Linked DNA regions of Macaca fascicularis. The protein of the gene in region 4 interacts with the protein of the main gene of each other region in a biochemical or structural test. Links are inferred from orthologs where the notes say so. Each region holds a gene or a part of one and is shown on either strand. Other genes may lie near its edges. The genes, in order: SKI, TFE3, COPS5 and SMAD4.

Region 1 (4,111 bases), on a different chromosome or scaffold from region 4:
CGGACCCACCCCAGCCAACTCCCCATGTGACATGAAGGGTCCCAGCCTGCGAGGTCTGTCTGCAGCTCTGCCACGAGCATCCGTCCCCAGCCCACAGGTCTGCAGGCAGCTGCCACCTGAGCCCTGGCCTGGCAGGGTCAGAAGCACCCCTGCACACACACACGCACACACACAGGCACACGCACATGCACCCTCCGCAGCCCCCTCCGCGCAGAGGCGACAGTCCCTCGCTTCCATCCACAGCCCCTCCTCCCCACGATCTGACACTCTGCTGGAGGGGCGCCCAGAGAAAACCGGGCTGGAGCATCTATTCACAGATTCAGAAAAAAAAAGTTTGATGCAATAGCTGAATTAATTAGGCCTCCCAAGAATAGCTGAGCCAATGCAGCATTCTGTGTGTGCAATTTAATAAGCCTGGATATTTAAAAGAAAAGTTACACATACTTGGGGAGGTATGCAACGGAAAGTTCCTGAGGACCCCACTGAGTAATTTCGGTGCCTCGTGGCCTGGGAGCTGCCCATGCCGGATCCCGTAGATCCTCCAACTGGCAAACTACAAAGCCAGGCCAGCGGCCTCCCTCCCCGGCGCACCCCTCTGCGTTTCAGAAGGAGAGAAGGAAATGGGTGAGTCCAAAACAAATCCCAAGCCGCCAGTAACTCCAGCATGTGGGCCCAGGGGCCTGCTGACCAGGCCCTCAGCCGGGTGCCAAGTGGCCCTCACCCCACACGGGGCACTCTGGGATTTGGTCCCTGGCAGGCCCAGGGAGACCAACCAGCACAGTGCTGGAGCCGCCCAGTCTCAGGCCCCTGTCGCTGCAGCCTGAACACCTGGCTTCATTTTGTGTCTCTGTCCCAAAACTTCAAGGCAACAAACATGGACCGGGAGCCAGTAACAAAACCAGGCCTCGTCTCGCCCAAGCTCTGTCTCCTGGGGCCCAAGGGCAGGCAGCCCTCCGTCTTCGAGGCTGGGTGCCTTCGGGGTGAGGGCAGTCACCTCCACCCCAACCCCAAGGAAGACCTGGGCCTGAGGCATCCGGCTGGGGCCCAACTGGAGCTAACTTCCCTGACCTCGGAGCAGGCCGCTTTCCCGGGAGCATAGGAGGCCTGTGCCTTCCTATCCTATCTGGGCAAAGGCTATGGGCCTGTGGGCCTTCCCCACACACCAGGCCTAGCCCCCACCCCACCGCCACAGCCCCCACTCCAGGCTCCTCCTGGGGGAAAGGGCAGGAGGGCCTTCCTACTAAACCCTCTGGCCCTGCCAAGGGGAACACTCTGAATTTCCCTAAAACAAAGCAAAGACTTGACACATGGGGCACGGCAGAAACACAGGTCCCAGCCTTTGGAGACCAGAGCCTGTGGCCCAGAAGGGTCCCCCACCGCAAGCACATCCACCCCTGCTCCCAGGCCTGGGGCCACTCACCCGGGGCACCCGCCGCTTGTACTTGTTGCCGTAGTCGAACTTCTCCTTCACGTCGTCCAGGCAGCGACCGAGGCGCGCCTGCTCCTCCTTGCCCGTGTAGTCCTGGCTCAGCAGGATGTAGGCCCGCCAGTTGGCCGAGTCGAAGCCCCAGTGGCAGGTCCGGTTCTCCAGGGCCTTGTGCGAGTGCACCACGAACTTGTGCGGCGGGTACATGAGGCGGCAGTCCAGGCACTGGATGCAGGCGGCGCTCGGGCTGCTGTAGAGCTCCGGCACCAGCAGCCCCTTACACTTGCCGAAGCACTCGTGGTACACGCGGACGCTGCGCTCGCTGAGCTCCAGGCCCAGCGCCAGGCTGGCGGCCAGCTCCTTCTTGCAGGGCGGCGGGTAGGCGCCGCCGTAGAGCAGCGCGTTGCACAGGCGCTCGGCGTCCGTCTTGGTGATGAGCCCGCACGAGGGCGCCGAGAAGGGCAGGATGCCCATGACTTTGAGGATCTCCAGCTGGTCGGCCGTGCAGCGCGAGCAGTAGATGTGGAGCTCGTCGCACACCGAGTTGATCTGCTGCAGCGAGAAGTCGCGCAGCACCGAGTTGAGGATCTGCGGCAGACACAGACGCTTCTCGCCTCCCACCACGAAGCACGAGATGGTCTCGCCTTCTAGCACGGTCTCGCAGCGCTCAGTGGAGCGATCGGACGGCATGAAGAAGGGACCGGGCAGCACGGGCGGCGGCGGCTGGATGGCGGGCAGGTGCAGCACGGGCGGCGGCTCGGTGGCTGCGGGCACCGGCGCCGGCACCGCGGCCGCGCCCGCCTCCTTGGCGCTCTCCTTCTTGTAGGCCTCCTGCGCCCAGCGCGCCGAGAAGGCGGCCGGGCCGCCCAGCGAGCTCATAGAGCTCAGGTGGAACTGCTCCAGCGTCTTCTGCAGCCCCGGGTGCGGCTGGAAGCAGCCGCGGCCGCCTGCCGCCGCCTCCATGGTGCGCTCCGTCTCCCCCGGCCGCTCCCGCTCCCGCGCGCCCGGGCCCCCCCGGCCCCCGCCGCCGCCCCGCGCGCCCCGGCGGCGCCCGCGGCCCCGACCCCGGCCGCCCCCCGCCGCCGGCTCACGGCCGATCACGGCCGCGGCCTCGCCCGGGGGCGCGAAGGGGAAGGCGGGCGGGGCGAAGGGGTCCCGCCGCTGGAGCCCGCCGCCGCCCGGGCCCGGCGCCACATCCACGCGCCCCGCGCCGCGCCCGCCGCCGCCCGGGCCCCCCGCGCGTCCCCCGCGCGCCCCCCGGGCTCTAGGCGCGGGGCATGCCCCGGCGCGCGCCGCCAACGCCAACGCCAACGCTCGCGGGCCCGGGGCTCGCGGGGGGCGCGCGGGCAGGTGCCGGCGCCGCGAGGCGCGAATCGCCGCGGCGGCCGAGGCCGAGGGGCCCGGGAGGAGCGGGGGCGCGGGCGCGGGGCCCGCCGGGCCGTCCTCGCGCGGCGCGCCGCCGCCGCCCCGCTCCTCCCACCGCGCGGCGCCCGCCCGGCTCGTCCCGGCGGCGCTGGCCGGCCGCGTCGCGCCCGCCGCCGGCCCCCGGCCCGCCCGCCCGCCGGCTCCGCGGCCCGCCCGCCCGGCTTCCGGGGCGGCGGAGGCGCCTCTCGCCCGCGGCCCTCAGAGCGCGGCGGCGGCGCGGGGCTCGGGGCGCTCGGCGCACATCCTCCCGGCGGCTCGCTCCGGCTCGGACTGAGCGCCCGGCGCTGAGCTCACGCCGCCGCCGCGCCGCCCCGCCCCGCGCCGCCTGCTCCGCCCCGCGCCGGCCCCGCCCCCCGCGCTGTTTGTTGCCGTGCGTCCGCCTCAGCCCGAGCGCTGGCCAAGAATGTGACCCGCTCCCCAGTCGGGCTCTTCCAGGAACGCGCGCTCCCCGCCCGGACTCGGCCGCGCTCGGCTCCGCTCGCCCGGGACTCGGCCACGCTCGGACCCGCCCTGCCACGACTCGGCTACTCTCGGCCAGGACTCGGCTCCGCTCGGCCATGCTCGACTCCGCTCGGCCCCGCTCGGCCCCGCCCGTCGAAGGCCGCTCGGCGCGGGCGGAGGCGGAGGCGGCGGTGGCGCCCGGGGCCCCCCTTCCGGCCGAGGCCGCTTCCTGCGCGGCTGGGAAGGCGCCCGTCTCGCCGCCGCCGGGGCCCAGAAACCCACAGGCCCCCGCCACGACCGCAAACCAGCTGGGGGAGGCCGGGGGGCCACGCCACGCAGCCGGGGTTCTCCCAGGGTGGGACGCCACACAGCGGGGAGGCCCCGGACGCCTCTGGGGTCCCACACACTACCGGGACGCCACACGGTGACCTGGGGTACCACACACGAGGGGGACAGCGGCCACGCCCAGGGACCCCGCGCCGAGACAGGCACCGCGCCGCGTGACCCTGGCGGCGCAGCCCAGCGGCCCCCGCTGCCCCGTGGCCCGGTGGCCGAGTGTCCACGGCTCCCGCCCGCGCCAGCCCCGCCCCGCCCGACGGCCCCGGGCGGACTGTCCCTGATGCGCGGGCCAGGGGTTTCGGGCCTGAGAGGGGCGGCGTCGGGTGCCCCCGACGCGGCCGGTTTGCCAGCCACCCCGGCCAGGTGGCTTATCAGAATTTCGGTCCCGCGGGTCCCGGCGGGCAGGCCGGCGAGACCCTTGCCCTCCGCCCCAGGGCCTCGGAGCGCTGAGACGGCTTTCGGGGCCAGGTCGGCCCTCCA
Region 2 (4,163 bases), on a different chromosome or scaffold from region 4:
CTGACCACCTTGTCAAGACCCACACCAGAGTCTCCGTGCAGCGGACCCAGGCTCCAGCTGTGGCTACAACATAGGGTTTTTATACAAGAAAAATAAAGTGAATTAAGCCTGGAAAAAAAAAAAAAAGAAAGAAAGAGGAAGGGAAGGCTGTGGGTCTGGGTGTTTTGTGAGCTATGTGCACCTGAGGATATGGGTGAGACCCTCCGCCGTGTGCAAGCCGGATTGCATGCGTCTGGCATACAGAAGCGCTCAGTGAATGTTGAATAAGTGAACAAATGAGTGAATCAACTAATTTTGGGGAACTTCTTGTATGCCAAACAACCTGCTAGCACCTTTCATACCGTAGAACAACCCTGCCAGAAAGGTATTTTGACTCCCATTTAACAGGCCAGGAAAGCTGAGGCTGGGAGAGGGAAGGTCCCCTTCCCTGTTCAAACCTGGATCTTTGTGATTCCAGAAGTCGTCATTCACCGAAGGGACCAGATTCATCCACCCGTCAAGAATTTATTAAGCACATGTTGCGCAGCGCAACGAACATAGTACAACAACCGCTCTCGATGGCATGGAACAGGCAGAGTACTCCCGGAAGACCAGCTGGGCGGTTGGACTGAGGATACCGAAAGGGCGGGGTTTCTGGTCCGCATCTCCAGGGAATGTAGCTGCCTCTGCCTCATAGTTATGGCTTTGGCTGAGAGAGCACAGCTAGATCGAGGTTGGAGCGCGGTCTAGGGCTCAGATATTACGAATATTGGCCGAGAGAGGGCGCAGTTCCGCAACTAAAAGTTGGCCAGGGGCCCCTCCGTGCGCCGACTGGCCATCGATGCGCAGGCGCAGAGGACCCAAGGAGCGGCTTAATAATATTATCTTGCAGAGGGATAATTTGAGAAGAGGGGGCGTGGCTCCGAAACCGACGCAAACATAGAGGCGTGGCTCAACCAAATCACCCCTCGCCTATTTGTCGCTGCCCCTGAGGGCGTGGTCTGGGTGCCTCTTCTCGGAAGGAGGGCGGGCCGAATCGCGTTTTTCCTTCGCGTCGGAGGCGTCGCTTAGGGCGGGCCCTCAAATCGCCGTTCAGCGATTGGCCGCCTGGCTAATGGGTCGTGGCCAGACGGGCAGTCCATCCCCAGTGCGGTCACTTCCTGTGGAGTTTCCCCATCCCTGGGAGGAGGGAGGAGGGAGGAGGGGGAAGAAGACGAGGGGAGGAGGGCGGTCGTCCGGGGTTAGGTTGGGGGGGCGTCGGTCCCTTCTGGGCGGGGGATGACTCACGGCCCATCCCATCTCCCCGACGCCGCCCGCCCGCGCAGTGCTAGCTCCATGGCTTAGCGGAGGAGGAGGCGGTGGCGAGCTGGGGGGAGGGGGACTCTTATTTTGTTAGGGGGACCGGGCCGAGGCCCGACCGGCCTGGCAGGGCTCGCCCGGGGCCGGGCGTCATGTCTCATGCGGCCGAGCCACCTCGGGATGGCGTAGAGGCCAGCGCGGAGGGCCCTCGAGCCGTGTTCGTGCTGTTGGAGGAGCGCAGGCCGGCCGACTCGGCTCAGCTGCTCAGGTGCGGTGCCGCCTGGGGCCGGGAGTGCCGACTGGGGCTCCCAGGGGCCTGATCTGGGGGGCAGCGGGGGCCCCGGACTGGGATTGGAGGCCCTCGGCCTAGCCTTGGAGGACGTCGGGGCGCCCGTCTTGGGGGGGCACCTAAGGAATCCGGCAGTGGCCTGCTTGGATCGTGGCTTTATTAAAGGAGTCGTGGGAGTGCATTAAACGGGGTCTGGGTCAGGTTTGGGGAGCCCTTGACTGTGTCTAGAGGGGCCTATTCTGGAGTATCCAGAAACTGGTCTGAGATAGCTGAACTTGGCAGACTGGGACTCTGATTAGAGGCTGAATTCGGGGGTTTTCAGTTGGACATGAGGGGAATGAATTTGAGGGGACACTGTCAGGTGAGGCACTGGTTTTAAGGGAATCCTGGAATCTTTTTCCCTCAGTGTGGGAGAAGGGGTCCTGAGGGACACAAGTGCTGTCCTGGGAGCTTGGTGCCTCTCAGTGACTGGTTGCTGTGTTTGGGGATAACATGAATCTGGAGGGATTTGGAGGTATCTCAGATATGCTGCCTGGGACCAGCCTTGTGAGTGCGTGTGAATGAACAAGAGAAGCAACAACATTCAGCAAGACTTGGCCTGAATAATCCTTTCCCCCCTGCCCGCCCACCCAGCTGGGGCAGATCCCAAGGATAGTGGAAAAGCCCTCTTCCCACACCTGTTAAGGGCCTGAATGGGAGACAGACAGCCAGACAGAGGGCGATGATGTTTGTTACCTCTTAGCTCAGAGAAGGCCTCAGACCTTGTTTGGGAACCCAGAGGAGGCTCTTGTTCATGCTGCTACTCGTTCTAGCCTCTCAGCCCTTCCCACTACCTAGCCCCACACCCCTTTTCTTTTTATCTTCTTTTCGATCTCTGAGCTTCTGGGGGTAATCTGTCCATAGAGCTGGAACGAGTACAGATTGCACCATCCCTGCCTGGGTGGATCCCCTCTGGCCTCTTCTCATCCTTACTTTTATCAATGGGCTTTGGAGCCCCAGCCCTCCCTGATCACCCCAGTGCCCATCTCTTCCAACTTCTGTGCAATGGGTGTGTGAGCCTTGGTGGTGACGGGGCTCTTTGCCTCCTTTGTGCCTGGGATTGTGCTGAGCTCAGTGGCTCCCCCGAGCTTCCTCTTCCCCACTTCCTGGGTGGTTTTAGGGCTCCATCTGAGGGTGAGGAGAGGAAGGAAGACAGATCCTTGGGGAGGGGAGAGGATTCTTGTCCAGTGAAGTCACCAGCAATCTCTCAGCATTCTAAATGTTTGGCTAAATTGAAGGATGCATATTCATCCACGTGTGTGTTAACTGTCCCTTGCTCTCTGGGGCTGAGCAGAGCCTTTCTGTATATTGATTCACCATCTTCTAATTCCTCTGTAACAACCTAGATCATCGCAGTAGTGGACATAGTTAAAGGGAGGGGTGTATATGGCTTCTTATTTTGTATGCCAGTGGGTATTGGTGTTGGAGGTGTGTGTGTGTTTTGATCTATCAAAAAAAACAGAAGGCTGGGCAAGCTCCTCCGGCTAAGAAAAGAATGCTTGTATAAAGTGGATCAACCACCCAAATTCTCCCTCTTGTAAATCCAGTCTGTTGGAGTGAGGGGAGCCTTTGATATTTCTATTTTATATTTGGGCATGTGTTGGCATCTCATGAACTCTAACTGGGGCTGGGAGAAACTCATTTGTGAAATGGGTTTTCACAAATTTCACTTGACTTTATGTCAAGTGAATTATTCCCAGTTCTCTTTGTGATGCATTCAGTCTGTGTTACAAGGGACTGTTATGCTGAGGGGTGCCCCTACTTGCTCTGTGTGTGTGTGTGTGTGTGTGTACATACACATATACCTGGGCTCAAATTCAGCTGTAAAGAAAATATTAGGGGGTTGGCCGGGCGCAGTGGCTCACGCCTGTAATCCCAGCACTTTGGGAGGCCGAGGCAGGCGGATCATGAGGTCAGGAGATTGAGACCATCCTGGCCAACATGGTGGAACCCTGTCTCTACTAAAAATACAAAAATTAGCTGGAGGTGGTGATGTGTGCCTGTAATCCCAGCTACTCGGGAGGCTGAGGCACGAGAATCACTTGAACCCAGGGGGCAGAGGTTGCAGTGAGCCGAGATCACACCACTGTATTCCAGCCTGGCGACAGAGCAAGACTTTGTCTAAAAAAAAAAAAAAAAAAAAAAAAAAATAGTAGGTGGGTATGGGGGCTGGGAGAACTCTGATAGGAAGTCAGGAATCCTTCTATAAAGTGAATTGTTATTCCTAAATTCTGTTTTCCTCAAACCTAGGTTGTTACAGTGTGGGGGCTGGGATGCAGGCGTTCTTATTATTCTGACTCTTAAGGGACTATGAGTAACACAGTGGGGAGGGGAAAGGAGGATGGGGGGAAGGAGGTGGGAATTCATGGTTGTGTGGTACCCAGCAAGGTGGCCAAGTATGAGGGGCTTGTGCCTTCCTCTTGATTCTCCCCTTCTCTGTCTCTCTCTTTCTCTGTCTCAGGGGAGGGCTGGGGAATAAGGTCCTTCATTCAATCACTGACCACCACTCCACCTCCCCCTCAGCCTGAACTCTTTGCTTCCGGAATCCGGGATTGTT
Region 3 (3,563 bases), on a different chromosome or scaffold from region 4:
GTGTCACCATGCCCAGCCGAAAAATGCAACTTTTATGCAGGCCACTAGCTCTACCTTCTAAAAACCCACTGAGTAGATGGCAGTGAAATAAGGCTAACCCAAAATGACCTCCAATCCCAGGATACACTTCAGGGACCCTTTTCTCCTCTTTTCCCTATAAACCAAACCAGTTCTTAAAATAGATACCAACATGTAAGTGTGTATAGAAGTCAATGTAGTTCTCCCTTCCTTTCTGCCCCTAATTATTGCATTACAATTCAAATTTCTTTTCTTTCTTTCTTTTTTTGAGACAGAGGTTCACTCTTGTTGGCCAGGCTGGAGTGAAATGGCGCCATCTTGGCTCACTGCAATCTCCACCTCCTGGGTTGAGGCGATGCTCCTGCCACGGCCTCCCGAGTAGCTGGGATTACAGGCGCCCGCCACCACGCCTGGCTAATTTTTGTATTTTTAGTAGAGACGGGCTTTTACCATGTTGGCCAGGCTGGTCTTGAACTCCTGACCTCAGGTGATCTGCCCGCCTTGGCCTCCCAAAGTGCTGGGATTACAGGTGTGAGCCACTGTGCCCAGCCTAAAATTCAAATTTCTGTGAAAGTAAATGTTGTTAATCTATGCAACTTTGTATAGCCTATATATCTGAAGGTCCACATAATTATTTCATAAGTTATTAGAGAACATATCCCAAATTTGTTCCTAATAAAATCTTTGGTAGTAAAATTTGGGATACTAAATTACTGTTTTAGAAGCACAATTTGAGAGAGAGACAATCACTTCCGTAATATCTTAGGATTTAAAGCTTTATTGAATATTAAAATATTATAAATTTAAGAAATCCTAATTTTGGCTGGGCGCGGTGGTTCGTGCCTGTAATCCCAGCACTTTGGGAGGCCCAGGTGGGTGGATCACCTGAGGTCAGGAGTTCAAGACCAGCCTGGCCAACATGGTGAAACCCCATCTCTACAAAAAATACAAAAAAATTAGCCAAGCATGATGGTGGGTGCCTATATTCCCAGTTACCTAGGAGGCTGAGGCAGGAGAATTGCTTGCATCCAGTAGGCGGAGGTTGCAGTGAGCCAAGATCACACCATTGTACCACTGTACTCCAGCCTGGGTGACAGAGCAAGACTCTGTCTCAAAAAAAAGAAATCCTAGTTACTTACACACACACACACACACACACACACACACACACACACTTTAAAGATCCACTGAAGGGCTGGTTTTGTTACACTTTCTAGTTGAACTTAGAAAAGGTGACTGGGAGTGTTCCATAACACTGCTTAGATCTTTGATTTAAGCCTTTTAATGTTCTTACCTGATGTATCCTAAATTTTTCAAAGTTAAAACTTGTGTCTGACAGCTCCTAAAGTTTCCAAGAAGTTAATATTCAGGTACCGTTCTAAGTCGTAACTAAGTTGAGCCATAAGGAATCTGAATCCTACTATTGTTTGCAAATTTTGAAAGAAAAAGAGTTAGGGGCAACAAGAATCTTACAGATTTACTCTTACCTGTCTCTCGTAGCTTTGGCAAGTTTGTCTTCTGATTTTCTGTCATGCGTTTCCAAACCCAGCATGAAACTCCCTCGTCCCAGCTGGGCTTCTGACTGCTCTAACTTTTCAGACAAATCAAAGACCTGACCAGTGGTATAGTCTGCATTCTGTGGGGAAAATGGTATTGTGTCACTACAAAACATAAGTCTACCATTTAAAAAATCTATTTTAATGTAAACTAATTTCCTACAAAGAATATTTCATTTGCAAAGAATTCCACTATAAAATCTGAGTGAATAGTCAGTGAGAAGAGAAATCAAATTACATTTGCAAATCTGCTTCCAAATTCAGGTAGTTCAAGAGTAGATAGATGTTTTCCCTTTTATAATTTCAAGATTACTTGGAATTTTTCTCCTTGACTGCTTAAATCTAATATTTGTTATTATGGGAGGCTGTCAAGTATACAGACCTAAGTCCAAGTTCTGGAAGTATGGCAGATTAGTTGAAGGCCTGAAGTATGCCTCCAGGTTCTCTTCTGAAAATGGTAAGGGAGTCGATAATTCCTACCTTAGAGCTACAGTGAAAATTAAATGAAGTAATGCATATAAAGTTTTTGGCACTGTCCATGACACCTAGTAAAGGCTTAGTAATATTAGCTAATTTTGCTATTATTTTTGTTGAACTTTTAGAATTAGTACTTATGACAATATTGATAAAAATAACATTTTAAAAGCTTTTCTGGGTCGGGCGCGGTGGCTCATGCCTATAATCCGCATTTTGAGAGGCTGAGGCAGGTGGATCACCTGAGGTCAGGAGTTTGAGACCAGCCTGGCCAACAAGATGAAACCCCATCTCTACTAAAAATACAAAAAAAAATAGCTGGGCGTGGTGGCAGGAGCCTGTAATCCCAGCTACTTGGGAGGCTGAGGCAGGAGAATCACTTGAACCCAGGAGGCGGAGGTTGCAGTGAGCCGAAATCGTGCCATTGTACTCTAGCCTGGGCAACAAGAGCAAAACTCTGTCTTTAAAAAACAAACAAACAAACAAACAAAAAATCTTTTCTGGTTACAAAATTAATAATTATACAAAAAAATTTGGAAAATGTAGAGCAATATAAAGAAGAAAACAAACACATTTATAATCTCTTCATTTAGCTTTAACCACAATTACAGAGCATTGCTATATGCTTACATGTATACCTACATTTGAAAAACTATAATATTACATATTTTACCAATATTTTTATGGGGTATACTTTTTTAATTGTAGTCTAAAACACACAAAAAAATTTCACAAAGTTATTAAGTATACATTATATTTCTTTCCTAGATCTTCAATAGAAGAGTGTGAAGAGGAAATAAACTAGTTGGCAAAAAGTAGCATGTCATTCTATTTGCTCAGCTTGCAAGGAAAGACAGTCAGTCACCAAACAAGAAAAGTTATTTGCTGCCATACCAGTTCTTCCAGTGACTTTTACAAACTTAGTATTTTTAAAAGATGCAAGTATATTCATTTTGTCTGGATCTAAATGGTTTAGGAAACCAGTATGTTTTTCCTCCCGCAGACTTGGAAAAAACCCTAAAGTTTATAGAGCTATTTAAGCCATAAAAATATAGGCTACCAGAAATAGTTATACTATTAAAATGACAATAAAAGATATCCAATTACATTTCAAATGTACACAAAATGAATATAGTAAACTAATTTCTTAAATTAGAAAATAACTTAGGTTACATGCTATAATGAACTTCCTTAGCTGGGGGAAGAGAGAAGTTGAACATATGTCTACATATTTGTTCTTAAAATGCTGCAATGTACTATACATAAAACAAAAAAAAGGCAGAAATGTAATTTAACCTTTTCTTGATTATTAATGTCCTCATCTATGCAGTGCTGGAATACAGGGACAGACATTGGGCTGAGTAGGTAGATCTGCTTGCCTTATACAAAGGTTCAGACTGCTCTGGTCTTACAGTGTTTTCTCCCCTTGCCATCAGGTGTCACTTCTGGCTGCTATTAGTATACTTGCCTCTAAGGAAACAACACATATAAAGCACTTAGCAGTGTCTGGCACAT
Region 4 (3,563 bases):
ACAGTTCTTTTCTTTCGGGGACAGTTAAACTGAATAAAATACAGACAGTCTATGTGTGACTATATCGGCTATTCATACTGTTGATTAACTCATGTCATGATGAGTATTGTACTTATCTGAGAAGTGACCCTATAATTCTATTAAAGCCTGTGCTTGCACGTTTCAATCACCACTAAATCTAAATACAGGAAATCAATTTTGAAATACACTTACCAGGATGATTGGAAATGGGAGGCTGGAATGCAAGCTCATTGTGAACAGGCCCTAAAGAAAAGACAACAAAAATTCCATTTTTATTTATTAAAAGTTGTCTAATGCTAAAACTTTTAGTAAATCTTACTTAAATATAACTATTATCAGTTAGGAATTGTTGAAAACAAGCTTATGCAATGTCTAAGAACTTAAAAGTTTACTTTACAATAAGCAAATAGTCTTAAACTATTAACACTTTTGTGGATATTTAATAACTAACATTTTAGTGCTATCTGCCAAGTGTTATTATTACACAATTTACACATAATTTTCCATCCAATATTTAATACAGATCATAAATGATTTATGTAACATCCAATATAGTACAATTTATAATGCAATGTATAATAACAAACTATTAGGTCTATTCTAAAAACAAGTGCTTACATTAATTAAGGATGTTTATTTAATGGAATCGTAGCTAACATAACTGGAAACTTGTAATGTGTTAAGACACAGTGCTAAACACCTCACATAAATTATTACATTTACTTCTTACAAACACCCCTTGAGGTAGATACTAGTATTACTGCTCCTGAGGCTTAATGAGGTGAAATAACTTGCCAATGGTCACATAAGCCTGTTAAAGGTCCAAACCCAGCACCCTTAAACACTATGCCTAGGCAGCCATTAAAAATTACATTCTCTTAAGAAATGGAAAAAATAGTAACATAACTGAAAAGAAGCAAGACATATACAATACACATAGAGTAGGAGCCCCCTGTCAATTTACATATACCTGTTTATATGACTGGAAGGAAAATGACAAAATATTAGAAGTGGCTATTTTTGAGTAGCAGGATTCAGGGTAATTTTGCTTTTCTTATTTACACTTTTCTGTATTTTCTAAGTTTTCTTTGGTACTATTAATATTATAAAGAGAAGGAATTTAATGTATATAAAAGTTATACTCTTGATTTTACTAAGCCATATGAACAGTGCTCCTATTCTACCTGAAAATACAGGCTATCTGTAGGGTATTCCTCCCAACCATGCCGGCACAAAGTTATCTATAGATTCAACATTATCCAAAGTACACTGAATACTATGCTGAGGAAAACCTTGAGAACTCAGTGCTCAAAGGATTTTAATCCATTATGGGTGGATATACAAGACACAGATGAGATCTAAGAACATATACAAAGTAAACAAACAAATGAATGGAAATCAATGTGATGTTAATGAAACATTAGCAACAGAGAAATAAATGTATTTAGCAAACATCACTCCTCTAAAATAAAAAGGTATAATAACTATGAAAACTACTACTGTTTACAAAAACTACTGAAAAGCACTATTTAATGAAACAAAATCACAGGATGAATAAAAGATGTAAAAACATTTTTAAAAAATAGAAAACAAAGCCCTACCAAAAAAAAAAAAAAAAAAAAAGGAAAAAAAAAAGAGCCCTTACAACAAAAACAAGAGCTTACAGTAATGTCCGGGATGGGGCGGCATAGGCGGGTGGTGCTGAAGATGGCCGTTTTGGTGGTGAGGCAAATTAGGTGTGTATGGTGCAGTCCTACTTCCAGTCCAGGTGGTAGTGCTGTCTAAAAATTAAGGCCCACATGGGTTAATTTGCTTTTATAAAGGCTGCCTACTTTTTTCTCAACTATTTAAAAGATTTTTTTAAAGTATGTACATACTATGATGGTAAGTAGCTGGCTGACCAGTAAATCCATTCTGCTGCTGTCCTGGCTGAGGCCCTGATGCTATCTGCAACAGTCCTTCACTATGGCTGCCCCCCAGTATACTGGCAGGCTGACCTAGAGGAACAAGAAGACATTAACATGGTACATTCATAGATGTCATCTTATGATTTCATATACTAAATGAAGGACTAATTTTATCTGATAATGCACAACTACAAAGATGGGCAAAAAGTATAACTCACCCATGGCCTATCAGGTTAAAAAAAACCCTAAAGTCATCTATAAAGACAAACCTTAACTTGAAGAAGCTCAAAATTATTCCATTTTAGGTAATGTCTTGCTAATTTTAGTGGCTTATTTCTTCACAAACGTATTTCAAATGCCAGCAAAACACCACTGTATGTCTGGCCTATCATATTAACTTCTTCAGAAGTGTATCAGTTCATCCTGGCCACTCCAACCACTTCTCTCTCTGGACCTTTCTGATTAGGATCCCAAAAATCCAGGCTCAAGAAAATGTTGAAAACTGAAAATCATTGTCAGCACTGGTACTAGTAATGGCAGAATGCTAGGGTTTGACAGAGAAAAGCAGAGCAGAAAATTATTTTAAACACGATGTGATGGTGAAGAGGAGGAAGTTAAAAAGATCTAGCTCTGCTGTCCAATCAATATACCATTTACTGGTTAAAAACAAACAAAAAAACTATCACTCTACTTTCCAATTTTTTCAAGAGCTTTTATAAACCAAGAGTCATTTCTTTTCAACAACACCATCATATTCCCAGATTTACACAAAATTAGTTGCCCTCTCTGTATGCAATATACCAAGAGAAGCAAACTTCTCCTGGCTTCTATTCTATTCAAAAACCATCCTATGATATTGCTTACTGTCCTACATTTTTAAGCCTTTTTTTTTAAAGTGGAAATTTGATTTCTTAAAGAGCATTAATTAAGTCAATTGTTTACCCCATTTGGAAAGCACTAAATTTATAATTATTTATAACTGGCATCACCTCATTCTTTTCTAAATGGGAGTATAATCAGATATCTGGAAGACAGTAAATGTCACCATTGCTCAAACTATCAAAGAAAAGGAATATTTTTTTTTCTCTACATATCACATTTCCTTAAAGCTAAGAATTACAAAACCAAAACCTAAAGAGAATATTTCAATACTCCCCAAATTATTTATCTGTAAAAATGGCATTTTAGCAACCTCCCTTCCTACTCATCCGCCAGATTCTGCAATTTATCTTTAAAGGTTAATTATGGTTTTGTTCGTGTTTTTAATAATTATACATGCAATACTCTTAGCTAACTTACCAAAATTGTCATTAACTACACAGGATAAATTATTTTAATTTACAGATATTTAAAAGGAAATCCTTAAAATATTCAGGTGCCAAACGAACATAAATTGTAAAGTGACCCATTGTAGTTATCCATACTGAATACTTCCTTTATGCAATTCTAAGTATGTAAAATAGTTAAACAACACGACTATATCAGCTCATGTAAAATAGCCTTTCAAATCTTCTATTCTAGTTCAACTTCTTTTTGTTCATTTAATTTTATCAATATACTTTTTGAGATCTAAGGGAACATTTTGACACAAGTTCTAAAACTTACAGTATTTACAGTATTTGATTATTAAAATCT

What was found.
Region 1: the proteins of SMAD4 (region 4) and SKI form a complex in vitro, tested with the Homo sapiens proteins (3 studies listed by BioGRID and IntAct, with this or other methods). The link is inferred for Macaca fascicularis from reciprocal best matches to the Homo sapiens genes SMAD4 and SKI.
Region 2: the proteins of SMAD4 (region 4) and TFE3 form a complex in vitro, tested with the Homo sapiens proteins (2 studies listed by BioGRID). The link is inferred for Macaca fascicularis from reciprocal best matches to the Homo sapiens genes SMAD4 and TFE3.
Region 3: the proteins of SMAD4 (region 4) and COPS5 form a complex in vitro, tested with the Homo sapiens proteins (2 studies listed by BioGRID). The link is inferred for Macaca fascicularis from reciprocal best matches to the Homo sapiens genes SMAD4 and COPS5.

The regions. Positions count from the first base shown.
Region 1 is NC_088375.1:232,546,637-232,550,747, forward strand, and holds the start of SKI (ski oncogene), read right to left. Parts: upstream 2,838-4,111; 5' UTR 2,390-2,837; coding exon 1,421-2,389; intron 1-1,420. UniProt on the Homo sapiens protein: May play a role in terminal differentiation of skeletal muscle cells but not in the determination of cells to the myogenic lineage. Functions as a repressor of TGF-beta signaling.
Region 2 is NC_088395.1:49,199,056-49,203,218, reverse strand, and holds the start of TFE3 (transcription factor E3), read left to right. Parts: upstream 1-1,300; 5' UTR 1,301-1,430; coding exon 1,431-1,546; intron 1,547-4,067; exon of another isoform or gene 4,068-4,129; coding exon 4,130-4,163. UniProt on the Homo sapiens protein: Transcription factor that acts as a master regulator of lysosomal biogenesis and immune response.
Region 3 is NC_088382.1:77,031,947-77,035,509, forward strand, and holds part of COPS5 (COP9 signalosome complex subunit 5), read right to left. Parts: intron 3,519-3,563; exon of another isoform or gene 3,345-3,518; intron 1,655-3,344; coding exon 1,506-1,654; intron 1-1,505. UniProt on the Homo sapiens protein: Probable protease subunit of the COP9 signalosome complex (CSN), a complex involved in various cellular and developmental processes.
Region 4 is NC_088392.1:38,667,223-38,670,785, forward strand, and holds part of SMAD4 (mothers against decapentaplegic homolog 4), read right to left. Parts: intron 2,019-3,563; coding exon 1,899-2,018; intron 1,803-1,898; coding exon 1,686-1,802; intron 265-1,685; coding exon 214-264; intron 1-213. UniProt on the Homo sapiens protein: In muscle physiology, plays a central role in the balance between atrophy and hypertrophy. When recruited by MSTN, promotes atrophy response via phosphorylated SMAD2/4.